Linked DNA regions of Coturnix japonica. The protein of the gene in region 2 interacts with the protein of the main gene of each other region in a pairwise test. Links are inferred from orthologs where the notes say so. Each region holds a gene or a part of one and is shown on either strand. Other genes may lie near its edges. The genes, in order: ATXN1L and USP54.

The links.
Region 1: the proteins of USP54 (region 2) and ATXN1L interact in binary tests that used the Homo sapiens proteins (3 or more experiments, as listed by UniProt). The link is inferred for Coturnix japonica from reciprocal best matches to the Homo sapiens genes USP54 and ATXN1L.

What each region holds. Positions count from the first base shown.
Region 1 is NC_029526.1:17,649,348-17,665,882, forward strand, and holds ATXN1L (ataxin-1-like), read right to left. Parts: upstream 7,730-16,535; 5' UTR 7,630-7,729; intron 7,422-7,629; 5' UTR 7,312-7,421; coding exon 5,236-7,311; 3' UTR 1,631-5,235; coding exon of another isoform or gene 1,533-1,630; 3' UTR 889-1,532; downstream 1-888. UniProt on the Homo sapiens protein: Chromatin-binding factor that repress Notch signaling in the absence of Notch intracellular domain by acting as a CBF1 corepressor. Binds to the HEY promoter and might assist, along with NCOR2, RBPJ-mediated repression.
Region 2 is NC_029521.1:13,657,877-13,669,152, reverse strand, and holds part of USP54 (inactive ubiquitin carboxyl-terminal hydrolase 54), read right to left. Parts: intron 10,265-11,276; coding exon 10,094-10,264; intron 6,046-10,093; coding exon 5,914-6,045; intron 5,674-5,913; coding exon 5,293-5,673; intron 3,894-5,292; coding exon 3,662-3,893; intron 2,725-3,661; coding exon 2,582-2,724; intron 1,550-2,581; coding exon 1,376-1,549; intron 1-1,375.

The DNA.
Region 1 (16,535 bases), on a different chromosome or scaffold from region 2:
CGAATTTAAGCCTAGAAGCAGACAGTGCAGAACGTAACAGGGATTTGTACATATATGAAAATGTTCCCCTTGCTACTACAGATAACTATAAAACTATGCAACTATGGAAATTAAACCTAAGCGTATTTTGACTGTAAAAGACAAAACATTAGTGCAGAACTGGGAAGTGAAGGGGCAGAGAAGTCATACATCCTCCATTTAAGAGAATGGTGATGTAAGAGTGAGCTGTAGCTCTCCAAACTGCTGTGACACACGTTGCACGTGGTGCCCTGCAGACCACGCTCCCTGCAAAGGCCTGCAGTACATCTGTGTGTGGGGAGCTGCGGTCTGTGCATTAAGTCAGAAATTGGCCACAAGAATCTCACCTCGGACCCGAGCTGAAACATCAAAACCCTTTGGGCAGACTAGTCAGAAACAACTTGGTTTTTCAAATCCTTTTGATGGGACTCCATCTGAAGGCCACACTTCAGTGCTTACAATAGCTGCCTTTGGAGCACACAGTGCTCCTTTGATCTGGACACAAAACCTTGCAGGCCGTCCTGTGGGCACTTGCTGCAAAAAGCTTTTAATTTTTTTGAAGCCCACACTTTGTTCAACACGCAGAAGTTGTTTTAACTTCTCATTCTCCACAATGACTCCCAGTCTGGCCTCGCTCTCTTTGGAAAAGTTGATCTCTCTTATTCTTACCTCCATTTTCATGCCAAGCTCCGTTTGCTCTTTGCAGCAGCTGCTATTACTCTACGATGTGTGCTTTGCTCGGCCAGCAGGTGTTTTGCTGTGCAAACTATAGCTGAAGCCATAGATCCCAGATCACTGTATAAGACCACAGAACCCGTATCTAAGTGATCGCTGATGCCACAGACAAGCAAAAAGTCTCAAACACCAAAGGAAAAGCTATTGGTTTATATATAGATATATAGATAGATAGATATATACTGTGTTTACAGAGTCAACAAGTTAAATGGAATATTCATAAGAGCATTAACAATAAAAATACAATCTGTGTGTAGCCAAGTACAGACTTAAAATGGTAAAACAGGAAAAAGGATCTCACCAAAAGTACAAATATACAGTACAAATTGATTTATTTAAAACAGTTACAAAAAAAGCACAACAAAATAGAGATTATCCTTAGAATTATTAATGCTTTGTTAAAGATCAGGTAGGAGGAACAGGGTGGGAGCAGGGTTGGAGAGGAGCACCTGACTAGTTCTAAGGCTTTAGATACAATGCGGTCGGTTACATGTTAATACAGCCATTACATAACTGGGATTATAGTTGAGGGATCAGCACTTATCTACAAAGACCTCCTTGTGTCAGGGCAGCCCAGCTGGTCCCCCAGTGCCACACATCTTCCTCTGCTTTGTGTGGGCAGACCCTTCCCTGGGCTCTGAGGTGCCACCAGGGCAGAAAGCAACCCAAATGCGCGCGGTGCTTGGCAGGGTGGGCAGCAGCAGCCTGGGACGTTGGGGCAAGTCCCGTCCTATGTGGACAGGCACGAAGATCACGGAGGAGTCTCAACCATCAGCACATTAAGCCCTACATGGATCACACTGGGCCAAACTCGGTATAGAATGTGCATTCGTAGTCATCTGAGCAGCTTCTGCAAAAGTTTCAGGCTCAAGACAGCCTGAAAGGCAAAGAGCAGTTGTGAGTGACGCTAGGGAAAGGCACATGTACTGCTATGGGCAGGGACTAGCATTTGGGCTACTCGAGCTGCTGCAGTTTTCATTTAAAATATTTTCCGAGTAATAAGGTTTGTTAGTTCTCTACTGGGGAAAGTGACTTCAAGTGTGGGGTGGGGACGGGAGGGTCGGGGACACAACGTGAAAAGTGCATTATACTTGTGCACCTGCTGGGAAGGGGAGGCAGAGGGACCTCTGCAGCCTTCCTCCTTTCCAGACAGAGCTTCCTCTGCATAGTCTGGTAGTGATGAGTGCTCGTCACCTGGAGCAAATCTCATGTCCCTGGAGGAACAATGTACGCTGGGCCTGGAAGCAGACCTGGCTTCTGCTGGGCAGCCAACCCAAGGAATGTTTGATGCGGTGGAACAAATTGCTGCAGACACCCGTTACTGCATCCTTCAGACACTTCCCACAACCTCCGTGCCAGCTGGGTAAGACCGAGGCCAGGACAGCTCCTCCTCCAGGTAGGACAGACCACAGATCTGCCTCACTTCACAACAGCAGCAGGAAAATGGTTTATTTCTCTAATAAGCCTCTCACGTCTCTGCCTGCAGAAGGGTCTGAATAACCAGCTGATTCCACAGTCTCTTCCTGGCTTTCTCTCTGCTACTCCTGAACATAAGAAACTGAATCTTCCTCCACGGGTTCATTCGTGGTCTAGCTGCCCACAGCAGAGCCTGTCTCACACTCCCTGTCTCGGGTGAGCCTGAACACAACACAACCACCACCGCAGGAGATGAGCATTGCAGCCCAATGCAGTAAGGAAAGACTCCAGTGATTACAACTACTGTTCAGAAGGGCTGGAGGGCCTCTAGTGTTCCCATCCTGACAACGGCCACCCGGGCAAGCAACCGAGTTGACAAAATCCTTCATCTTAACACCCATCCATGACACTGCCCCAGCTGCTGCTTCCAGGGAACAGAAGAGCTGGCAGCCGAAACACACTCAGCAGTGGGACGTGCAGGGAATCTGGATAGAAACCCCGAGGTCTAACGCATCCTGGTCTCCTCTGAAGAGCTCAGAACTCAACAGGCACAGTCAGACTGGCAGCATGAAATCTCCATGGTGAGCACAGGCACAGCCCTCCAGCTGCCCAAAGTACAGAGCTGTTCTCGCTTGGCAGCATCTTGCCTCATACACCAGCTCTTTCAGACCGCTGCCCAGTGCCAGGGCTCTATGAGCAGTAGGTACAGTGACATACAAGAGACAAGGGGGGCTCAACAAACTATCCGAGACTTACACCTTCAAACAGGTGCTCGAGAGGTTCTGCACCATTCAGATGTGCAAACACTCAGAGTATCCAACGTCCCTTCTACATTCATCAGCTGTACTTAATGCAAGATCCCTTCCTCAGCCGCCTGCCACAGTTCTGAGTTGCTCTGCATGCACCATGCAAAGAAGGGCAAGAGAACCCAGGCTGCGCTGCCTTCTGGTCTCGGCGCAGACACCTGGATTTCCTGAGCATGAGATAGTAACCAGCATTAGTCAAGGCCATTGTGTAAGACTTCAGGGAATAGCGACGGTGAATCACATGTGACAGGCAGGCACAGGGCCCAGACGGGACATTTCACTGACAAACAGTGTCATGAAGACAACATCCTTCCCACAGGCAAAGGAGGCAGCACCTCCACGTGACAGCGTCACCACGACTCTGTACAATTCCAAATGCAGCTGATGAGATCATGAGCTGTGTGTCATTGGGGGAAAGCTGCGCGTGACACAGGCAGCATCCTCACTCTGAAACCCTGTGAGGCACAAACACTGAAGGCGTGAACGGAGCACATCTCAACTAAGGCCTGAAAATAAATTGCTTTCCTGGTGCAGGAATGTCAAAGAACAGAAATGGGCAGCAATGTACTAGGAAAACCATTCAGGAGACTCTCTAGCTGGCCTAGCACCTGTGCAGAACATCCTCGTCATGCAGTCAACTGAAGCCAAACATTTAGAGGACACCTTACTGGACGGTATTTGGACCGGCACTGCAAGTGAGCTGAGCGGGGAGATGGTGAGAGCAGCAGCACGCTGCTGCCTGGCAGGAACCTTCAGCACGATGAGAACAGGGAGATGGAAAATGGTGCCAACATCAGGAGCAGCTCTCCAGGGATCCACGTGCCGAGAAGAAACCCTCAGAAGCCTGGACCTAACACAGCCATGGGCACTCTAACACAAAGAACACTTAAACCCGAGCTAAGCCGGTGAAGACTCTTATTCTCAACAAAATAGTGACTTTTTTATTCTATCTAAGCAGCTACAGCTGGTGTCATATTGCAGCACCAGAGAGGTTAAATTAGTGTAACTACAGAAGCCTTCACCTGAATGGAGTGTTATTACACTTCTGTTAAATCTCACTTTGAAAAAGACTATTCTCAGTTCCACAGAGGAATTCCAAAATGAAGCATCAGAACGATCAGAAAAACACCCAAAACGCCTCACAATGCCGTGGTATTTTTAGAGTCCCTAGCAGAAGATCTGTACTTTGCCTCCACATGCAAAAACACTTGTCTGTTGTCTACAGTTTATTCGGAAGGCTGCCTGCAGGGAAGAACTAGCCATCTGTAAAGTTCTGCTTCTGATTTAATTACACAATAGTCTCGGTCCTCTTACAGTAGAAGGATGCATTTTCATTTTCACTAGAGAATGTTAAATATGTTTAACTCTCGCTTTCCAAAAACAAGAACAACACAACATAAAAAAACATAACCCCATTCACCTGCAGACTAAGCATAAAAGCCATACGCCCAAGAGGTTTTTGTTTTCAAGGTTATTAACATAGGAAGGAAGATTAGATTTGGTGGCAAATACTTAAATAATTTTGGTGACAATAAAAATATTTCATAGCAGGAAACTGAAGTCTCCTGTTCTGTGTCCCATCTCAAGTGCTCAAGTTCTCTATCCACCTGCACCCAAACCCATCCTTTTGGTCCTTCCTCTTGAATTTATGTGGTTAGTGGAAATTTCTGTACATTCTTTGCAAAAAGAGCAGTTGGATTCAGTGGAAGAGACATTAAACAGAACCATCAGAGAAGCACCTGCGTCCTGCCCTCAAGAGCTCCGTTGGTGAACGGTCTTTTTAAAGTGCATGTGTGAAGAAAGGGGATTGTGGGAGTAGAGCCCCCTAAACTCCAAAGGAGACCCATCTCTCCCCATCAAGAGAAAGGAGGAATAAAATCTTCAGCAATTTCATCTGCTACCTTAAGCCATGTCTGCCTTTCCCATCTCCCTACCTTCCCTGAATGCTTAGACCCTGCCCGGCGGGGAATCAGTTATTCAGAGAGGTGCAAGAAAGCCCAGCCTCTGGATGCTCTCATTGCAAGCTCATGAGCACATCCATGTTCTCTACCCCAGCCGGCCTGCTGCTGCTTCCTGAGGCACTGGAGCCCCCCATATTCCCCAAGAGGAACTGGTCAGCCGCTGAACTGGAATAAATCCAGCTCTGCAGGGCAGAAAGCAGTCTTGCTGGTGAACCTGTCACAAAGTCTGTGCAATTTCTCCACCCGACATAGGTAAGGCTCACCCACAGGGGATGCCCTCGCTCACAACCATAAAGGGATCATTTCCCTGCATTAGAACGCCCTTCAATAGACAGCTTGACCTCCTGGGGAATGAAAGAGGGACGGAGCAGAGAGTGACGCGGCTCCTCTGCCTGCACGCTGTATCTTTGGAAGCCTGGGGCTGTCCAGCTGTGCTGACTGCCAGTCTCAGGCTGAGAAGGTTCTTCATGGGAGCTCTGAGCTGCATTTTCCCTTTCTGTCTGGGTCTTCCTTTCAGCAGTTCTGTCAGATGGTTCTCTGGACCCCTGAGCAGTTATTTCAGATCTCTCCCTAGTAGATATCAACTGATCTGTGAAAGGGTAGTTAGCCTGAGAAGCAGAGTTGCCATTCATGCTCTGTAAACTGATTGATATGCAGACATCACCCACTTGCAGCCTGTGACAGGTCAAAGCAAAGAGCTGAGCAGTCCGCCCTGGGCTACAGGAGGACCAGCCCTGGCCATACACAAAGAATGGATGCTCTGGGGGCACATCAATGCTTACTTTACTTTGTTGCTCCCCAACCACAAAATGCAACGTGACAAGCCCGGGCCACTGGCTGTCCTGAATATCCACCACAGTGCTCGAGTCAATCTTCAGGCCTCCGCTCACCTCTGCGCTGCGAACAAAGTCTTGAGTCTGCAAGTCCTCCACTCGTTTCAGCTCCCCTGTAGCCAGCTGGATGATGGCTCCTTTCATGAAGTGAGAAGGCAAGCGAGAAGAGCTGGGTGGCTGTAGCTGGGCCAGGTCTTTGTCAAGCACGCCTCCTTGAGCCTGCACAATTGGGCTCTGCCTCACCAGGGCTTCTGAAATGGAAGACCTGATGGGCTCAGAGCCAGCTGGAACCAGGACTGGCTTGCCGTTAGCTATCACCATTCCTTTGGTTAACTGTCTTTGTCTGACCTTCTCTTCAGGAGATGCAACGTACGGACTCCTGGACTGGCTCGTCTCAGCAGCGCCCCTTTCCACCGTGTTCCTCAAAATGTTCTTCGACTCCCCCTGCTGATCAGGGATATTATGGCAAAGGTTTAAAGGGCTCGGGTCATCTTTCCTCTGGGCTGCCAGAACATGATAATCCTGAGAGGCCAACACCCCCACCACCCTCTGAACCTCCAGATCAGCGTCTGGTGTGCTTCTATGTGCTGGCGCAGAAACCTCTGTTCTGAACGTCTGGTAACCTGAAAGAAACTGTCCATCAACAACACATCTCACTGCAGACCCTGGCAGACAGTCTTCAGCTTTACTGCTGGCAGAATCCGCTGCCTCACCGGTCCTCCTCACCACACCGTGCTCCAGATGTCTCTGTTCACCATTGGCAGCAGCCACCTCCGAACTCAGCGGACTGTCTTGCTGAGAAGAATCTGGGTTTCCACCTGCTGAAGGTGTCTCGTATCCTGAATACCCAGGTGGGAGGCGAGACATCTGATAATAAACAGGAATCCTACCTGGTGTGGTATCTAGCGGCTGGGTCCCGGCATGGTGCTGCATCTGGCCAGGAGAGACCACAGGAGCAGATTTGTTGAAGCTGTGGGTAGGAGAGGTAGTCTGGGGGGAAGGAGCAGCTTCTTCCGTGAAGAGAGAGGCATATGGCACAAAGTGGGGGACGTGAGAGGTGGTGAGGTTGCTAGAAGGAGACAGGAGAGGACTAGGCAGGAAACCGGGAGGGACGGCATAGGGCACCGTGTAGTGCGAGCCGATGAGCTGCAGGGACGTCGGAGGGATCTGGGCGTAATGGATGGGAGGATACGGCAGCCCCGGGTGCTGGATTATGGGCGAGGTCACGTTGAAGGTGGGGGTCAGGGGGCTCACGTTCACCACGGGATGCAGCCCCGTGGGTGAGAAGGTGGCGGGCGGCACCGCCACTTTATAGAGCATCCCGTACTGGTCCACCGTCAGCCCCGCCACGGCTTCCGCCGCCTCCCCGGGGCCGTAGCGCAGGGCCACGGTGCTCGACCCGCCCGTCCGGGCCCACTCGGGGCCCTCGGCCGAAGCCTGGGCGCCCCCCGCCCGTCCCGGCTCCGTGCCGGCGCTGGCTGCGGGCAGGTCCCGCTTCTTTGGCGGGAGACACTCCTGGCTCCGCTCGTGGCCCGCTCTCATGGCGCCGCACGGTGTCCCGGCAGCCCCGGCCGCGACGCTGGTTCATGGGGGCACCCGCAGGGGCTGCCGCACGCCGGCTCCCGGATCCCCGCCGCCGGCCGCCGCCTCACCTGCACCGGGAACAGAGGGAGCCGTGAGCCCCGGCCCCGCCGCCGCCACGGAACCACGGAACCGCGGGGACGAGCCTCGCGACCCCGCGCCCGGACGGCGAGACCCGCCGGACCCCGCCCCGCTGCGGAGCTCCGGCCCCGGGGACGGAGGTTGCCCGAGCCCGGCCCCGCGGATCCCGCCCGTCGCCCGGCCCGGCCCGCGGCTCACCCGCCATCGCCCGGCTCCTCCTCCGCGACCCCCACCGGCCACACCGGCCCCATCGCTCCCACCGCCGCCTCCGGCCCGGCCCCTCCCCGCGGCGCACGGCGATGACGCGCGGCCTCGCGCCGGAAGCGCCTCACGGGCCGGGGGGGTGGAGGGGGGCGGGGACAAGGAGCGGAGCCCGAAGCGTCCGTTACCGGGGAGACGGGTCCGGGGCGGTGCGAGACGGGAGGAGAGGAGCGGAGCGGGCTGCGGGGCGGGACAGAGCGCGACCGGCACCGAGCGGACACGGGGCGGGTGAGGGAGGCGGCCGTTCGGAGCAGCGCGGCTCAGCCCGGCCCGGTTCAGATCCCGGTTCGGATCCCGGTTCGGATCCCGGCCCGGTGCGGTTCAGGCTCTGAGCTCCGTCCCGGTACCCGCAGCCATATCCCGCCCCCCTCAGCCGTTCCCGTCCCGCAGCCCCCGGTCCCGCTCCGTTCCGTTCCTCCGCTCCGTCCCGTGTTTGGCGGCACTCGCTGTTCTTTACGGTGCCCAAAGCTCCGCGGGTTCCGGCGGCTCGTTCCGGCTCCTCACGCGGTGCCGCTCCGTGCGCTCAGCCCCGCCGTGCAGCGGCTCGTTCCCTCCCGTTCCCCAGAAGCCGCACGAAAAACAAAACAAACCGAACAAAACCAACCGGACCGGTGGGCAGCGCGCTCTGCCCGCGGCGCACGGACACGCCGGGCCGCGCTTTAACAGTGCCGCCCCACCCGGAGCGCACACGCGGGTCCCGTCCCGTCCCGCCCCGCCCCGCCCGCACACCGCGCACGTTCCCCGCGTGGCCCCGCCCCGTCCCCGCTCGGTCCGTAACTGGCGTCGCGCTGCGGGGCCGCCCCGCCGTGACGTCATCAGCGACTGCCACGGCATCTCGTTGCGCTGCTCGCGATGCGGAGCCTCGTGCGCTTCCGCCGGGACAAATAGTGCGCGCGGCCCGTTCCTCCCGTCCCGCCGCCCGCCGCCGCCCGTCCCGCTCCTGTCGGTGCCGCCCCGGCTGAGGCCGCCCGGCCGCTTTCCGGGACCGACGCCGGCGGATCCCGGGGGGCCGCGAGGAGCGTCGTGCCGTGCGGATCCCTCCGCCTGCGGTATCGGTGCTGAGGCCGAGCCGCCGCCATTTTGAATGCCCGGCTCCTGCCGCTGCCTCCGCTCCAGGGACCGGCCCGGTGAGTGCTGCCGCCCGCCGCCCCCATCCGCGCCGCCCGCCCGTTCTCCCGCTCCTCTCTCCGCTCCGTCCCCCGCTCCCGGCGGTGCCCGGTCCCGCTCTCTGTCGGCGTCGCCTCGTCCCGCAGGATCCCTCGGCCCGGAGCCTCGAGCCCCGCCGTGCTCGGGGCGCTGCCCGCCGTCCCTCGGCCCGTCCCGGCTGTGTCCTCCCGTCCCGTCCCGCGGCCCGTCTCGCTCCTCCCGCCCTCGCTCGGTTCCCGCGGGCTCCTCCCGTCGCTCTGTGCCGCCCGTTCGGGGCTGTGGGAGGCGGGACGGAGCGCGGCTCGCGGCCTTGTGCTCTCAGCCGCGGGCTCGGGCCGGGCCGCGCTCGGTAACGACACGCGGCGCCGCGTGGAGAACGGGGAGCGCGGCGGGAGATCCGCCGGGACCGGGCGGGCTGCGCTCGGCGGCTGGAAGGCGGCGCGGGGATCGGGGCCCTCTCGGAGCCTTCCCCGCTCCTCCTCGGGAGCCACAGGGCAAACCCTGCTCGTTTGAACGCTGGGCGTTGGTTCGGCAGCGGGAGGGCGGCACCGCCGTTCGCTTTGCGGGGCTCTCAGGGCTCCGTGCTGCGTTCGGTTCTGAAAGCTTGAAGCGAATGGAAAAATACGGAGTTAAATGGAAGCGCTTCCAAGGGCGTTTCACGTGCGGGACCAGAAGCGGCATCTGGCGCTCACCGCCTTAAGCAGCGCGGGGCGTATTTCTGTCTGTGCGATCCTCCATTCACCCCGTGTTTAAAATGACACATTGAAGATTTTTTTCCCTGTTCTTCATTGCAGTAACATCAATCTCGATCTTCCGTTCGCTTGTTTACTTTTCTTCCCCCTTTCTGCAGACTGTATTTTTCCTCTGCAGACAGGGAGCATTCCCATTCTACCACAAAACTTTTCCTTTTTCCTGCTTGTCCTGTCTTCAAACGGTGCATTTCGTTGGATGCCCGTGAGCTGGATGCAGGCGGGAGGCCTTGTTCCTCAGGGCACTGTGCAGGGTGAGCCCTCGCTTCTGCCGCGCTGGGAGGAGGAGAGGAACGAGCTTCAATTCCTGTGAGCTGACGGCAGAAAGGAGGGTCTGTTAGTGAGGCACCCAGCTGTCCTGGCCCTGCTGTGTAGAACAGCTTTCAGGTTCCTTTTTTATTTTAGTGTTTCTGATAGAGGGACATTCTCTTCTCTTCTCTTCCATTTCTTTGTTCCTGTGACTTTTAATCTGACCTTTCTTTTTTCAAGGGGCACCGTAATCAAAGCGGAGTTGGTCCGTACTTTTGGCACTGTCCTGGCCGATGAGTGAGTGTGACAGGTAGATCCTTCCAATCTTGATAGCCTGTTTGCAATAGGAGGTTTGAATTAGCGTCACTGTAACCTGATGAGATTGGTACATTCGTTTGTGGAATAAAAAGGCTGTGAGCAGCAGAAAGGAGCTGGATCTGTCTGTTCTTAGGCATGCAGACAGACTGCATGGGTTAAGGATTGGGAAGTTGCCTTTCAGAGCATAAAGGCTTCTGAAGTTGATGCCTCCTTTACATTAATGTTTTTGAGTTGGTGTTGTGCATCTTCAGACAGAGATGAGCTGTTTTGTTTAATAAGAGCGCAAAATCTTTGGTCTGAAAGCCATGTGAACTTGTTCTGGATCACACTGGGATGTTCTTTGAGGAAAACAGTCTCATCGATCATGATGGTTGTGTTACTTTATTGGATGATATTTGGTGTCACTAAACATACACAGTGCTGTTACTCAGAAAGAAGCAGTGCAAACGAATATCTGCTAATATCACTGCAGTTAGTGGCATTTGCCTTGATCTGGCACTTTGGAGATGCTGTAGATAAAGGTCCACAATGAGCATTTCCAGGCACCTGGCAGTACAGCACTTTGTTGTAGTGCAGTGTAGGGGAAGGTGTGTGGTTCAGTCTCGAAGCAGTGACACACGTGCTGCCCTGCCTGCGTGCTACCTGTGCTGCCTTTTGCTGTCCGTGTACCTGCACGTTGCACCATCACATCCTCTGCCGCTGCTTTTTCAGCTTCCGTTTTTAGGCGTGTTCCATGCTTCCTTCCATTCCCAAGCCCCCCATCTTTGTATAATGCAGACTATTCCGATTCCTTGTCTTATCATTCTCTGTCTTGACATTTCCTTTGCCTTAATTTCTTTCTGATATCCCTATGTTACTTATTTTCCACTTGTTATTTACCTGTGTTGTAGGAAATAGCTTTTTCTCAACACACGCTACGTTCCCCTTTGAATGTTGTATGGTTGGTTGCTTTTTAGGAACTCCTGTGTGTTGCCTTTGCCCGCAGTGATGATGGCAGTGATGATGGCTGTGCTGCTTGGTTGGGAGCGTGCTGTTTTCTGTATAAATATGGATGATGTTAAACATTGTGCCGGTATCTCTTTCTTCTTAGTTTTTCCTTGCCAGTCTGGTCTCTGTTTGTAGTGTTTTATTTCTCTTTTTACTGCCATTGTGCCACTTTCTTTTCAGGTGTCTGATGGTGTGAAGCCCCCTGGCAGTGTTGTTTGGTCTGTTCAGGTTAACCACTGCACGTTTTCCTTTTGCACAGTCTATCCAGACATACCTTCTGTTTTCTTTTCCTGTTCAGGAGGCTCGATCAGTTCTAATGAAGGAAGTAGGGGCATTCTGTTACTGATTGCAGTTGGAGGTTTGAATTACGTAACTTCGCAAAAGTGGGGGTGCGGGGTGTGTTGTTTTTTAAGGAGTGGGATTGCAGGACTTGGGGGCAGGGTCTTGAGGCTTAATTTCCTGATGGCTGGCTGTGGGTTGACTGAAGCACTTGAGTACTTTGATGTGTGAGGTTTCAGCAGGGTCAGGTGCTGCTTGCAGGTATAAGACGTTAACTGCTAACAGCCTTTGGATGCGGTGGTATTCTCAAGCAGGTCCGTAGCAAGGTTCTATGTTTACGTATTTTGGGGGTAATAGCCTGTTAAGTAAGATCTTCAAACTTAATGCAGTACAAACACATCTATTAAAGGACTGCAAGGGAGGAGAAAGTACCTGTTTAGAAGCATAAAGTATAATACAATGAAGTGTTTTTAATACATTACGATTTTTGTTTTGCTGGTTGACGTGGGTTTTTTATTCCACTTTTGGATAGTTTACCAAGAAGGAATTTCATGAAGGAGGAATTCCTTCCTGGTTGGTTTGGTGAGGAGTTACTGAGTTGGAGAGGGATGAATTTAGGCACCAGTTGCCCAAACACAGGAATTAATCTGAGTTGGATATCTCATTCTTTTTTGCATATCAGGAGAAGTGCTTCTTAAAGAATAAGGCCTTCAAGCTGATAAAGTATGAAACAAATTGTGGTTCCTACTGTTAGGTTCTTGTCAGGTATTCAGAGATAATCCCCGATTTCTGGAGTTTATGGGTAGCAAAGAACAGAATGAGGAAGGAGGCTGAATGGGAACAGAACCAGTGATTAAGCACCTGGGGAAAGGAGCTGGTGAGCCCAGGGAGCAGGTGTTTGAGTTGCGTGACCAGGAGGGGGTGGAGCCTGGCTGCCTCTGTTAGTGCTCCTTGCAGGGCTGACTGTGCCGTGGGAGGATCTGTGCCTGGGGATTCCTTGGTGGAGCTTTCCCCTGTGAACCTGGAATCTTCTGACACGGCTGAGCAGTCTTCTTCCCTTACAGCAGCTTTCTATCGCGTTGATCCTCCCGTCATTTCATCTCTGGTGAATCACCTTTTTCCATCATATCGATCTGTTAAATTGTTACAGAGGTGATTGCTTTTAAAATTTGCGTTGCCGTTTGTGTTGATGTGGAAGGAACAAGAACAAGATGTATGTTCTGTATGGAAGGAAAAGTGCTAATTGATCCTGAAGAACAAGACTTGCTACTTTGAAAGAGGTTTTAAGCTGTATAAAGTTAAACTTCAGGTGTGCTGTTCCTAGATTATATGGTTGTTCTCTCTGTTCATCATCTTGTGCAATGAAATGCATCTCTGAAATGTAGAGCTCTGTGCCATTTTACTGTTAATGGCAGTTTGCTGTTCAATAGTTTTGTGGTTACCAGAGACTTATTACTGTATTACTTATTACTATTTAAAGTGATTCGTTGTGTTAATTTCAAGATCCTGCCTGATGTTGAGACAGATTTTATAGTTCATTGCTTATTATGTCTTATAGTTCTAAATTCTTCATCCTCTTCATATTTTGATTTCATGGTTCTTCATTATTCTTCTTGTTTTTAGCTCTTGTCAGATGATTAATACATGGCCTCAGTTCCTTCCCTCAGTGAAGTCTGAGTGCTCACATGTCAAATCCTAGGGCAGTTCTGGTTCTGCCAGGTTCAGGTTTCACTGCCTTGCCGGCCTGTGGCACAGTCGTGCTGCGCGTTGTCCATCCTTCACTCCTGCTATCAGGGAAATCAAAAGTTCTTGTCAATAATGCCCTTCTGGAGCTTGTTGGAGCCTTGTTTCGTTCTCTTTTTCCCTTTTATCCAACTGCAGCATAATAAAAGTGTGCTGACTGCGTATCCATGGAGTCCATGAGACCTTGTGCCTGCCTTGCTATTACTCTTGTCATAGTTCTCAGTATAGTTTTGAGTTACGGATTGCTTGGCAGCATGAATGTGGAAAAGTGTTTCCTGTTGTTCTGTTGATTTGACTGCGGTGGGGAGGATGCTGAGGTGTATTTCTTGACAGAAGCAGGAGAGGTGGGTCGTTGCATTCTTTTTCATTTAGTGTAGGTTGTTGGGTTTTTTGTTGGGTTTTTTCCCCCTTAGCTGTACAGCTGTAAATGCAGACTGGTCAGGTGTGTACCTGGCAGGTTAGTTGCTGTCTTGTGTGAATTGGATGTTTTACATCCTGGAGGAATATCCGTGCAAACCTGTTGCCTCCATTCAAGCTCTTCTGATTGTTTTTCTACTTTGGATGTTTTCTACCAAGCCTTCAAAAAAAAAGCTAATTGTGTGCACTCATGTGACTTAGAATTGCAGGCCAGAGCACTGTGGATTTGATAGTTATCATCCCCAGTCCCTGTTGGCTTGTTTTCTCCCAGCTTTGTAATCATTTACTCTCTAGATCTGTGTCAACACCGTTGTGATGCATCACCTGATGTGGCCGGTGGTGTCAGAGCTGCCGTTGAAGTTCCTGAGGATGATGTGGCTCCTCCAGGTGCAGCTCTGGCTGGCTTTAGCCTGGAGGACTGTCAAAATCTAGGCTCACTACTATGTAGTGAGATCATTTTAATGTTTCTGAGACAGGAAGTGAAATGTACTTCTTGGGCAGCGTGAGGCTGGTATTGCTTTGTATTGTGAGAGCTGAGGAGCTGCTTCTCCTTTGCTTTCTGAATTGCTGGTTCCTTGCTTTACTGCCTGTGTGTTGTTTAGAGGAAATAGTTTCTGTACCGTGATTTGTTGATAATATAATCCATGCTTACAAATGTCTTTACGTACTTGTTTCAATGAATGGATGATGACAATGAAATCTTACTGGATCTTCAGTATTGGCTCTTGGTTTTTCTGCCTCCTCAGTGAATGAGGAAGTCCTGCCTTAACTCTGAAGGACACACAATGAAGGTTCTTAGGCTGTGCTTCACGTGTATGGTAATTTCATTTGGTGCTGTTTCCATTGGCTGAAGTGATTTAGGCTTTGTCTGTTTACTTTCCATTGTCCAGAGCCAGATTTACTGGGCAAACAAAGCCCTCTATGGAAATACCCACAGAATGGGAAGGGCTGGGAAAGCAGCGCTGCCTACTGTAACGGATCACTGGAGATGGTGTTCAGCAATTCATAAACCCTTAAAATACAACGTGAGAGCAGAAGGACTTGTGATATCAAACCAGATCGATGCCTAAAATCTATTTGCAGTCTGTAAACATCTGCAGACAAACAAAGCAGCTGTTTCACTTGTAGTTGCTGCTGCTGCTGTTCTGAGGAGCAGAAGCTTGAGATGGTCCGTAACCTGATGGTTCTGCACTTAAGAGTGACTTAGTGTAGGAGGCCACGCTTCACATCTTTCCTGCTCCATCTTGGCTCTCCCAGAGCTGTCTGCTCACGCTGCCTTGTGCCTCATAAGCTCAACTGTTTTCAGATGTACAGATGGCTTCATCTGTCATGATGGGTCCTGGAGATGCTGTTCATAGACCAATGAAAGGAGTGGGATCAATCTCCTCTTTCAGAGTGAGCGTACACATAAGTGATTATTAATAAAGACATTGTTATTAATGATGATGAAGTTACTGCCTGTGGGCTGCAGAGGTGTGTGCCTGTGCCTGGTAACTGTTGAGTGACGGCCTGAACCTCTGAGCACCTGGGGAAGGACAACCCAGCCCTGGGAGCTCAGGTGACGGAATTGAGTTGTGCAACCAGGAGCGGCGGAGCCTGGCTGCACCTCGCCTGGAACTCATTGAATCCTAGAATCATAGAATCACAAGGTTGGAAAGGACGTAGAAGATCATCTCGTCCAACCATCCTCCCTTTACCATACCTACAGAAAAGTACTAAGCCATGTCTCCTTGCTCCCTATCCAGGCACTGAGGGCTGACTGCCACTGGGGAAGGATCTCTGGTTGGAGATTCCTCCTAGTGGAGTCTTTCCTGTGGGCCTGGGTCTTTGGAGATGGGTGAGCTCCTTTATTTTCCCGTTGGAATGCCATCCTGTCTGTGCTGGTCCCTTTGTTGTTACACTCCTGTATTGCCCTTCCACTGCATTAATCTTTCCGATTGTAACAGCCTGCAGTGGTGTTTTAATTTTATTTCAGTTTCTTCCCCGTTTTCCAGTGTCAAAAGCAGTTTGACAGTGTGTTTGAAGGGGAGGGGCTATGGAATGGGGACTGGACTTAAAATTCTGGGCTTTAAGCGGGATGTTTTGGGGTTTGTCAGACTGTTACATAAAAAGAACACTTTGTAGCAACCACACACAGGGAGAGGCTGGGGAAACAAGAGAAGGGACTCTTGGTAAGTAATGTGGCACAGCGATGTTTTAAATGCTGGGTGCCATGCTTTCCTCCCCTGTTTCGGAAAGGATGCAGGAGAACTGCGGACCATGCAGACAAGGCAATAAGCATAACCAGTCATGGATTGGTTCAGATGTGGGTCTGCAGGTCTCGGATTGAAAAGGTGGGGGAGGAGTAGCCATGGAAGTGTGTAAAACTAGGAGTTCCTCAGTATTACTAACTAGGTAATTTGTTATCATCTCCATTGAACTATTTGGGGCATCAGCTGCAACAAGGACTTGAAACTGCAGAACAAACAAATGAACCACCTTCCCTGTGTTGTGCTTGGAACTCCAGCTGTGACTTGCAGAATATTGTTGATTCTGGAAGTTCACCTGGATTCAAAATAAAAACAGAGTCATTTGTTTATTATTTTTATTTTACTGGGCATTATTTCTTTTCGCTTTAGAAGTTCTTATGCTGCAAATTGTTGCAGACTGCAATAGAACAGAAGTGTTTGTTTGCATGCTGACCTGGCTCTTCCAGCCTTCCATGGGATCCTGCTGCTGTGGTCAGACCTGGTAGGGCCATTGTGTTTCTGATCTTCTTCCCGTCTGTGCCCATGTAGGACACTGAAGAACTGTTAGATGGTGTTCTTCATGTCAAAGAGCGATCTGAGTTGAAGTGAGGGACCAACTTTAATTAAGAGGAACTTTTATAGGAGCCTCAAAGACCTCTACCAACACAGCACATCGAATAGAAAGCTAAACCTCAACAGATGTTATGAATTTAGAGAGGTGGCATCA
Region 2 (11,276 bases):
TGCTAATTTCATTAACAAGGAAAAGACAATATCCTTGTGCTCAAGAACAGAGGCTCACTTTTCAATTTTTATCTCATTAGCACTTTACAAAAATAAACCCAAATGCTAATAAAAAGAAATACCTGTCTATTTTGGTACAGAAGTTGTAAACTGGTTACCTGCAGGTCACAGTGGGACCATAAAGGATTATCAAGTAACTCACTAATGCCAAGAAATTTTAAAAAGTACATTCAGGTTGTCAGACATCCTCATGAAGATCATATTATCCAGCCACCAAAAGTATAGTGACATTCCAACAGTTGGCAGAGTACCAGCTGTATTGCATCCAGAGCTCACATTGCTGTGGGGTGTCCCCTCTCAATCCTTCACCTCTGTTCTGCAGCACACAAACACCTCATCTCCTTCTCTGCTACAAGAGGTTTGAGTGAACAGTATAAGGGTCCCAGGAGGTCTGGCAACACAGAAGTGCCTGGGAGGCCACAGTACCTCAGTGAGTCTGCCCCAGCAATGCATGAATTCAGGAGACCAAATCCTACATGTTTCACCACATTTCTTGGTTCTGCTGACCTCCAGGAACCCACAGTTAAGCATTCTACCAAGTTTCTCAGCTGGGTCAGCCAGCCTTCTCTTACCAGCTAATGGAGACTGAGAATAAAACAACGGTGCTACACTTGAATCCTGTCACTAATCTCCCTCTGTTACAGTCGCATTTTTCCTATTAAATCTCCTTTTCTGCTGCCACTTCTTAATAGAAAGGCAGGGAGTCTTGGAGCAGACATACTAAGACTGAATATTTGGCTTTTTCAATGTTTTTCTCTCCAATTCTTGTCCTTTAGGAAAGACGTAATATATATGTATCTTTTTGAAGTACTCTACCCATTTAAGCTCACCCCACTACTTGTCACCCCTGTGCTGCAGCTGAACAGGGAGAGAATCATAGAGTATAAAGGCAGGAACAGACAGAATTGCTTAGGTCAGTGATGCTACTAAGCAAGAAAAATAAAGAAAATAACAATTTAAGTGGACAAGCAATGCTGCAGGCGGATCTGAGGTATCTGAATGCTTATTCCAAAATATTGGTAGAAGCCTTGAAGCTAAATCTAGATACCACTACACACAAAATAGAAAGGTGCAATTATAAACCTCTCTGCATTAGAAACTTTTACCTTGTTGTCACATTGAAGAAATAATATGGTCAAAATGCCAATCAGTTTTCTGTATGCAGTAAGTCTGAAACTGATAGCGTTCTACTATGTGAAGACAGAAAATTGCAGTGTGGGAGTGGAGGATGGGAAGAGAGTAGGAAAGTAAGCTCTAAACTTCAGAAAGCTTCAGCACCAAAATCTCGCAAAATATACTGCGTTCAAAAAGTTACCCTGATTCTGTAGCTCATCTAGATCCATGAACCTGCTGGGACGGGGATTAAAGCCCATTGCTGCCTCCATTTCCTTTTCTCTTTTCCTGCGTAGTTCTTGTTCATGTGCTCTTCTTGCCACTTCCTCTTGCAGTTCATCCAGTTCACTCTTCAAAGGGGCAAACATCTCCCCACCTTCCAAACAAATTTTTTTTACAGTAAGATCTCTGAAAGTATCCATTAAAAGACAAAGTAATGTTGATGGACAATAAAATTGCCATTAGAAAATAACATACTGACCAAAGACCACAGAATTTCAGACCACAAATTCTGTTTTGTTCAATTTTACTTTTAATGGTTGCCCAAAGTCATTTGGTTTCCAATTGTCTTCTCTGTCAGTGGCTCTGATAAAAGCACTGCAGTATTAGTCCACAATCCCCTGTAGCACAGCCCTTCCCTCAATTCACTGACACAAGAAACAGCACGTGAAACAGAAAAATCTGAAAAGAGAATTCTAAGTTGCTGGTGAAATCTTGATACTTCTTACTGTGCTTGGAACTGTAACCAACATTATGCCAACGTAGCCTGATGAAAATGGAAGGAAAAGAGGCTTATGTGTACGCAGGTACAAGTCAACACTGCAGAAATTAGTCTTCAGTCTCACTTCAACTTTGACCTGTATATAGAAACTATCTTCCCTCATTACTTAATTCCTGAGAATATCTGGGTAAGGGGAAGGATTTCCTCAGAAGGATAATTGGAATGTGCATCTGCAAAAAAGCTCAGCTTTAGTCCAAGTACCCTGTAAGTGCTTAATCACATTTGTGACAGTTTTGAACGTGGTATACACTATTATAAGCTTATTTTCAGGAATCAACAGTTATCATGAGTTATCATGAGTTATGCTCGGGAAGACATTTTCAACTAATAGCAGAATACTGAATTATGGGAAAGAAAAGGAAAAACAGCTTTACTTCATCAGTCAAATCAGTCTTTGTTGAAAATGACACAAGAACAGCATGATCAAAAAGAACATTCCAAATAAGTTTTTTACCATTTCATATGGTAAACCAAAGTTACTACTAGTTAAGCTGTGTTGTTATATTCTTCTATGTTTCAATTCCTTTTTTTCATAACTGCACTGCAAAGATAAACATCCAGAAAGCAAAAGACAACTCCAATAAACTTTAACTCACAGAACCACTACTACTGAGAAGTTCATCTTACCATTTCCAATGGCACGTGGGCTGCTCGCCCAGCTCCCATTTGACGAAGTAGGCTCCACTTCCAGTATGCTGCTACTGTGAGACTTTGGGATGCTACGCCAGGCAGGAACCAATCCACCTGTTCGTTTCATATGAATGTCCCTCCAAAAAGAGTAATTACATTTCACAGTATTAAACTCCTTAGGAGAAGTTATGTCTACATTTTCTATTGTCACAAAAATATTTACTTGCAATTTAATTTATAGTCCCAAGGGAAAAAAGAAAAGCATACCACAGAAAATTATTTGGAGAAACAGATGAAGAGAAAGCAAATAAGCAGGAGGACAGTAGCCCTTACATTTGCTTATAAACACTGCAAATGTTTTTCAAGACTTCAGTGAATCTCTCAAACCGACAATCATGTGTTGCCCTGGGTTGAAAAGGACCTCAAAGATCACCCAATTTCAACCCCCTGCTATGTGCAGGGCTGCCAACCACCAGACCAGGCTGCCCAGAGCCACATCCAGCCTGGCCTTGAATGCCTCCAGGGATGGGGCATCCATAACCTCCTTGGGCAACCAGTTCCAGTGTGTTACCAGCCTCTGAGTGAAAAAACTTCCTCCTAAGCTCCTCATCTTCCAAGATTAGGTTGCAAGACTATCAATTTCTGATTTTGTACACAGATTCTATGAAACAATTATTTATCTGAAAGAAAAAAGACCAATTCTAAATTCAAAGGACATGTTAAGCTTGATATTCGAGATTTTAAATTGTAGACTAAGGGCATGACTATTTCAGATGCATAATTTCACTCAACATTACATTTCTCATTCATTTTCCTTTTCGTTACTCATCATCAGCATTAAGTTATCGATATACTGACAAGAAAAGGGATCAATCTCACTCAGATTTGTACTTCCTTTCTATTTCTCCCTGCCACAAGGAACTTGTCTTGTAAGCTAGGATTGTTGTTTTGTGTTGTTGGCTTGGTTTCATGGGGCTAACTTTGGTTTGTTCTGTTTTTAATGTTCTACAGTATTACATAACACAGCGAAAAAGAAACAAAGACTTCACACCAAAAACGAAGTTTGTTAAAATCTACCTGTGGGTGCTTGAACTTTCAGACAAGGGCATGTCCAGACTAACTGGGCTGCTGCTGTTGCGTTCACTGCTTTCGTATCCAGACTCCATCCTCTGTATTAGATGAGGATGTTGATCCATCACATGCTGGGTACCTCGGCTTGGCACAGGACGCTTGTATCTGACATTTGACTGGCTTGACCTTGTTTCTTGAACAGTACGTTCCTTGACCTCATTCTCCATAAGCTCTTTTCCTGTTGAGATAAAAGAGAATAACCTAGTAGAAGATGTGTAGATTTGCTGCTCTGAAGATGCACATTTTTGCTCCTCAATTATCTCAATTATGCTTAAACCAGAAGTACTGTCTTTAAGATCATTTCACATTAGAAATAGGAAAATGAAAAAAAAAAAAACAACAATACTTTTACAGCATTTCTGTTAATGTTAAGCAGCACTCTTCAGCAAATTTGGTTTCAAAACTCTTCCATTTAATATGTTACCATATTCTCCCAAAGTAACAATCCAATCTGGAAAGAAAATCCCTTTCTCCCCCTAACAGTTTGTATTCACAAAAATCATTTAACATTATACCCAACTGTGCCTTTAGTAATTCCAATTTATACTGCACTGTCATATTAACTTCAGATGCTACATTTGTTGATTTTCCTGTATGTTCTCACTTGCCCCTTTGCTTTCTTTTTCTTTTTACCTTTTTCCTTTTTTTCCTCTGGCTTTTTCTATTCCTGAAGCTGTGTTCTCTTATATCTTTATCTTCTCTCTATCCATTTATGCTGCTCAACTCCTTTAAGCCTTTAGTTCCTTTCAGTAGGTGACACTGTCCCTGCCTCTCAAGACTCAAAAATTGCTGCAAGTGCCCTGGTTAACCACCACTCCACAGCCAGTCAAACAAATCTCTTCCTTCTCATCTACACACGTTCCAAAGCAGCAGTTCCAGTAGCACACCAACAAAAAGAAAGAAACTGGTAAACACCTGCTCTTCACAGCATTACAGTTTCAGGAATATCCACCTCCTGAGGTAGAAATAAAGTGACTGTGCTACATTCATTTCCAAATTAGGGGAAGGGAAGCAGGGGGATGGGGCAACAGGTACAAAAGACAGGAAGCAGATCACAACGGATTCCTTCACCGTCAAAAAACAGTAAAACCAAGGACAAAGTCTCTATATTCAGTTTGCATAGCTGCTGTATAAATCATCATAAGCAAGTGCTGGTAAATCATCAGCAGCTGCTCTTATCCTCATGACAGAAGCTCAGCACTACTGTGTGAAGTACTTGTTACACCATAGTTTAAGCCATCATGCAAAAATAACCAGAAGAAAAACCCTGACCAATAAAAAAGGCCACTCCAAGCGGTGAACTTCCAAATATTTAGCTGTCTAGTACTGAGTCCATTTAAGCAGTACAGGCAGTAAAGTTTCCCTCATTACTTTCTAAGATGTAAAATTTAACATATGGAAAGCAAACAAGTATCACACATGCAATATTGACAAAGAAACTTCAAAGACATGAGTCGCTACCAGCCTACATGCCACATTAAAACTTTCACTTTTCTATTTTACCTACATGAAACTGAATAACAGAATATTATAAATTCCACACACTTCAACATAAATCTTTCTTCTCAACCTCTTACCTGCCTCTTCAGAGAAAGGACTAAGTTGAGTGTATCCACAATGCTTCCTCTTGTCTTTACTGAAGATGCTGTCTATATTTAGAGACTCTCTCTTGGGTCTCCAGCTTGGCCGGTACCTGCTAGATGAACTGGATTTAGACTCACTGCTGGTACTCTCAACTTCCCAGTCTCTAGAGTGCACAGAGAGGCTTTTTGAGGGCCGTGTTTCTGCCTGATCCACGTGACTCCCTCTATGAGGGGAATTTTGGTTGGTTTGAGAAATTTGCTGTGGTCTGTTGTGGATCATATTGCTCACTGTCTCCTTAAATTCCCTTAGTCTGCTGGTGCTGCTGGATGGTTTGGGGGCAGCTCTGGGGGCTTGTTTCTCCTTCAAGGTTTCTCCTGTAGTTCATAAAAGAGAGAGCAAAAGCCACAAAAATAACTTCAGATTAAGCTATCAGCCCTACTCACGGCATCTTCATGCTGGTTTTGAAAAGTAAAATAAAAGGAAAATAAAAAAAAAAAAAAAAAGCAAAAGACAAAATGCAGGCAAGGAGAGAAATGTACATATGCAGTAAGAATCTTAAAAAAAAAATAATCAGAAAGAGATACTGATATTTTCAATAAAATAGCAATTCTTGCCTTCACTGTGGTATCCTGATGACTGAGTCTCATCCCCTTTTCGCCGAGACCGACTAGAACTCCTCTTGCGTTCTGCCAGAGAGCCCTTTTTGGAAATATGCCTCTGATTACACTCACTGTCAGTCAGGTGCCCTGAAAGGACAGAAGAACACAGCTGAGACGACGAGCCTTCGGACTGAGTGCTCTGTGTGCTGAGAACAGTAGGGCTCTTCTGCTCCTTAGGAGCTACAGCCTCTCCAATGCTAACTGTCAGGTTTGGTTAAGCTCTTCCATCCACAAGTCTCTGGTTTTGTCTTGGAGAAGGGGAGTCTGGTTTGTTTGCTTTGTTTTAAGGTTATAAGTGCTACGCTCCCTCCAATGACTCTAATAATGAGAGATCATCCAAAAGAAGAAGAGTTGACTGTATTTTATCGTGCTGTGCTCTAAGGATACCACTTCCTTGCTGTCTGAACACTTGCTCAGTTTTCATAGCCATGAACAAAAAACTAAGAATAGTTTGCTTGCCGTTATTCTGTTGAATGAAGGCTTAAATGCATGAGCAAGTCAGCATCTAAGGAAAAATTACTGCGCATCATCAGCATCTCTACACTGATTCTATATCTGCACTTTCTTCGCCTGTAGCAAAGGTAATTTGAGTTAGTTTAGGCTACAAGGAAGAAGCCTCAGTTGGCTCTCTAGGGCTAAGCCAGCTAATTCATATCTGCCACAAGCTAAGAACATACACACATCAGCAGCATGGATCAGCTGACACACAACATCCCTTAACTACAGCTCACGTGTCCTAGCATTTTCTCTTGTACATGATATATTCCCAGACAAAATGTGATTAAGAGTATATGACAGTTAATTACGTGTTTTCTGTATTACCATTTATTTTCTTTATTTTACGGTTCTCACACATTCACAGTCCTAAGCCTTCAAGCACAAACACACGCATGGCTTTACTCACGTGAGTAGTCCCAAGCAGAGATGCAGGATAAGAAGGGAATTTATGAATAAGCTACAAAGACTTTTCTAGCCTTAACATCAACAAATTTCACCTTGTACAGGATGACAACAATGGAAAAACTCTACTACTCAACAGTGGATGAACAGCCCCCAGACTATGTAATCGGCTGTTCTGAGCCTGGTCCTTTACTAGAAATTAACATCAAATTCAACAACACTTAAAGTAGATTTTACAAGTAAAATCATACTTTTAAACAGTTGAAAAAGTAATACAATTCAACTACAGTTGCTACAAAGGTGCTACAATGTATGAGTGGGAAGGAATCCAAACAATAAAAAGCAGGCTACACAAAACTCATGTTTCTATTCAATTGCAAACTGTATAGTGATTTTGTAGCTAAATTCTTTAGAAACAAACAAAATAAAGAAAAGAACTAAGGGAATAAAAGAGAAACGTTGGCAGTGAAGACTAAAGACCTACAGCATTTAGGTGACTGAGCATGAATCAGTCAGTTCTTTGGGAGAAATCATTTACCACCACAGCATGGACTGCCATATATCTTCTAGGGACTGAAAGAACAGTAGCATCTCATACCTTGTTGTGGTTTCTCTCAAGATAAAAAGAGGATTATTTTTCATTTCAGAGTGCACAACTTCTCTAGTGAACATTTTTTCCCTTACAGCTCTTTCAGCTTACTTAGTAAGAATGGTTAGTTAGCACTCTTCGTGCACTGCAACAAAGTCTAGTTAGCTAGCTTAGTGTCTGTCTGTATAGACTACAGAAGAACATAATTCAGCCTTGTAAAAACGAAGGCTGCTAGTAGTGCATAAAAATTTTCTCCTCCTTTCATAAATTGCCAGTTTTGTCATAATGTTGTTGAAGGTTTAACAGACAGAGGAGATTCCAAGAATCACAAGCCTGCAACACACAGGTTATGTTGTCTCTCCTAACAAAGACTAAAACCAGTGTAATGCATCAATAGAGGAACTAACAGTCGCAGAAATACAATCTGAAACTTCACACTCATTTCATTTACTTCACTAAAATAAAAAGCCAGGATTTCTGAGTGCTCGGTTGCTCATGTAAAGGGTGTGCCTTGCTGAATGTGCTCCTAAATGTCTCATCCTCCATGTGTAGGATGGGTCCAATGGCTTCATAAACAGCAGGATTAAAAAGAAATGTTTTGTTGGGTTTTTTTCCTTTTTTTTTTGGCAGGAATGGGGGACAGAATATGTTAAGAGAAAAAGAATGAAATCAAACAGATTAAGACAGAACATCCACTGCTCCCTCCCACGGAAATCTCAGTTGCATGAACAGGGCAGCCAGAATACGCACATTTTTCTCAGCAGCACAGGTTGGCAGGAGCAAGAGAGGGCTCATGCAGCCACCCTTCATGCTTTCATCCTGAAGAACCCAGGTACCTGAGGTCATATGACCCAATGGTGGTCCTTCCCAGAAGGGCGATGTGGGATAGGGTCCAGAAAATTCTGGGCTGAAGTAGTGGGGTAAATGGCCATTAAATGTAGAATCCTGCTCTTGCCCAGAACGATTCAATAGCAGCAACAGTTGACAGGTCAATGTGGATGGCTTCTTTATAGCCCCACGGATCACCCTTTGATGACTGAACAGTTGCATAAGTTGGCAGACTGGCTTTTTGGAAAGGTTTCAGGAAGGCAAAAATAACAGGGGAAAACATCCAGACAGGTGACTAGCTAAGGGGACATATTGACTGTAACTAAAGCAGAGTCAGGGAAGATGAGGATGACTGAAATTAGGTGGTGAGAAATGGTCTAGAACTGAAGGGAATAACATAGGACAGAATCAGTGGGAGAAGAAAGAAAAAGAAGAGGAGAGCATCACTAAAAAATGACAGAACAAAAAGGTTATATATTGAATTTAATCTGCTTACATGGTGGCAACCCTCCTACTACCCTCCCCTATTTAAAAAAAAAAATTTACAAAGAGTAATCTAATACAATATACTTTCTGCTACTTTTGCAGACCACACAAATAATACTCCACCAGCTTTTTTATTTTTGGCTTTTCTGTAATCTTTGGATCAACATAAATTTTGTTTCCTCAGCACTCTCCAATTCTGCTCCAACTTTCCCTTCTTTCTCACACTCTACTGAGGACTATTACCAGAACTTTCGTTGCTAAGTATTTGCTAAAGGTTAGAAGTACCTTCAAGTTATCTAAAACCACAAATTACAGTTACTTGAAACTGCTAAGATTAAAAAAAAAGTCTTGAAGAAAAATTTCTTGAGACATTTTTTTCAGGTTGTAACGTGAAACACTTGCACCACAGATTGCTTCAAATGAACCAAAGATATTTATGTGTCACAAGATGTGACAGCAACTACTTCACAACCAGAAGGATGCAGCTGTGTGTTAGCTATTGACACTGTTGCAACCAACAGTTGCTGATTCAGCAGTTATTCCTGTTAGGAAGTCTTTGAAAGAGTAATAAAGGAACTGCAAATGGACTTAGTAGCTCATATTTCTGATGTTCAAGAAGTCTGTCGTTAACTCATGCTCTGCTTTTTCAGAAGTGAAGTTAGTACTACATGCAGAAACAGGCTGACTGAGATCACTGGCCATGAGTAATACAGATCTAAGCTTGCAGACTTCCAGTACATTTCTTTTCTGCAAGAGAGTCTTCAGGCAGACTCTTCAGCTGCCTGAAGGAATATGAAGACAGACTCTTTTCCAACTATACGCTCTCACTTGTCTCCATAGCACAGGCAGGAAATCATCTTATGCTCCTCCCTGGTGCAGTAAACACTGCCAACACACATACACAGGAAGTCCTCGGTACTCAAGTATGGGAGATTCCTGGTGAGAGAAAGCTGCAACTCCTGAAACAAACTGCCCATAGATGAAGAAGAAGTAGTACGCACATGACTTACCAAACTGTACAGTGGAAGTGCACAACAGACTTCAAGTTCCAGAGTTTTACAAAACAAAGAGAGCAAGTAGGTAGTGGATAACAGAAACAGTGTGTGTAAATCTTTGCCTGGCTAGATAAAAGTCTACAAAAGCCAGCCATACATTTAAAATTATGTGAATCTTTGGGATTACAATGGTTAACTGCAAATCAAAACCATATAAGATAGTAAACATTGTTCACTAGTCCATTACGGGCTGCATAGAGAGAGATTCTTCACTAGGCTTCACTGTACTCATCACATTTATCGACAATGATTATTGAGATATGAATTTATCTGCTACCTGTGTCCCTGCTGCTCTGAGAAGCTGCATCATTGTCCACATTGTAGATGACCGTTCCCTGTGAGTCAGAAGAGAAGTGACTGACCACAGACTCATGGTGTGCCTGTTTATAAGGATAGCTGTCTGTAGAGGAATCTGTTCTGGTATCACTTGAGATGGAAGGTTCTCTCCCTAAAAAAGAAAGTACTGTCAAATTTCAATGTCTTGGGGCTTGTTAAAGAGTCAAGTGAGGCTAAAAAAGGGAACACAAGAAGAGAGGAAACTACACAAGTTATCTCAAAAAGCTGAGGACCAAGTATATAAACACAGATCCCAGAAGACTCGATCTTACAGAAAACGCCCTTTTCTGTAACAAGAAGAAAAGGGTGTCATATGACCTTAAAAATCTTTATTTCTATTGTCTCTGATTACTCTGAGTTTTTCCAATCTACTTCTTATGCAAAATTAAACTATGTGTTTCAGACTGCTAAATACACGGTAGTACCACACTGAAATTCTTTATTAAGTTTCAAGTCTGTCAAGTGTAATTTAAGTATGAAATACACTGACTCTGGGGAAGTCAAAGCTGAAAAAAAATTAGTCAAGTACAAAACATTAATAAAGATAACAATAACATAAGTCATAATAATTAACACACTTTATCTGTTATGAATTGAAAGTCTAATAAACTTTATACTAAGATTGTATCTGATTCTTTTTAAATGAATAAATGAATAGACAAATCAAGTAAACATCATCTATATGCATAAGCCTTTGCCAATCCCTTTTCCTTCAGTCTCCCACAAATCAGTTTGTATCTCATATATTACTTCATAAAAGGCAAGCCAGAAGTTGATAACTTCACTGATTCATTCCCTCTCTTCCTACCATCCCCAGTATTTCTTCTCCTTTCCCTCAGGTCCTTTCCCCATCCCAAAAAAGGATGCATTTGTGATGTTTCCTTAATGTTTCCTTTCCCTGACTTCCCTCCCAAGATTAGTTCTGCAGCTTCCTTTGATTTTTGAGTTCAGGCATCTCAGCTATCATTCCTTTCCTGTTAGAACTACTGATTGATTTATGAACGCAGCACATGAATTCATCAGTTATTGTTCCCCTCTACAGCCACTTCTCAACAGGCCTTTCAGTTCTTTTTGCCATCTGTACTCCAACTTTTATGCTTAAAAGATTGCTATATACTGTAAAT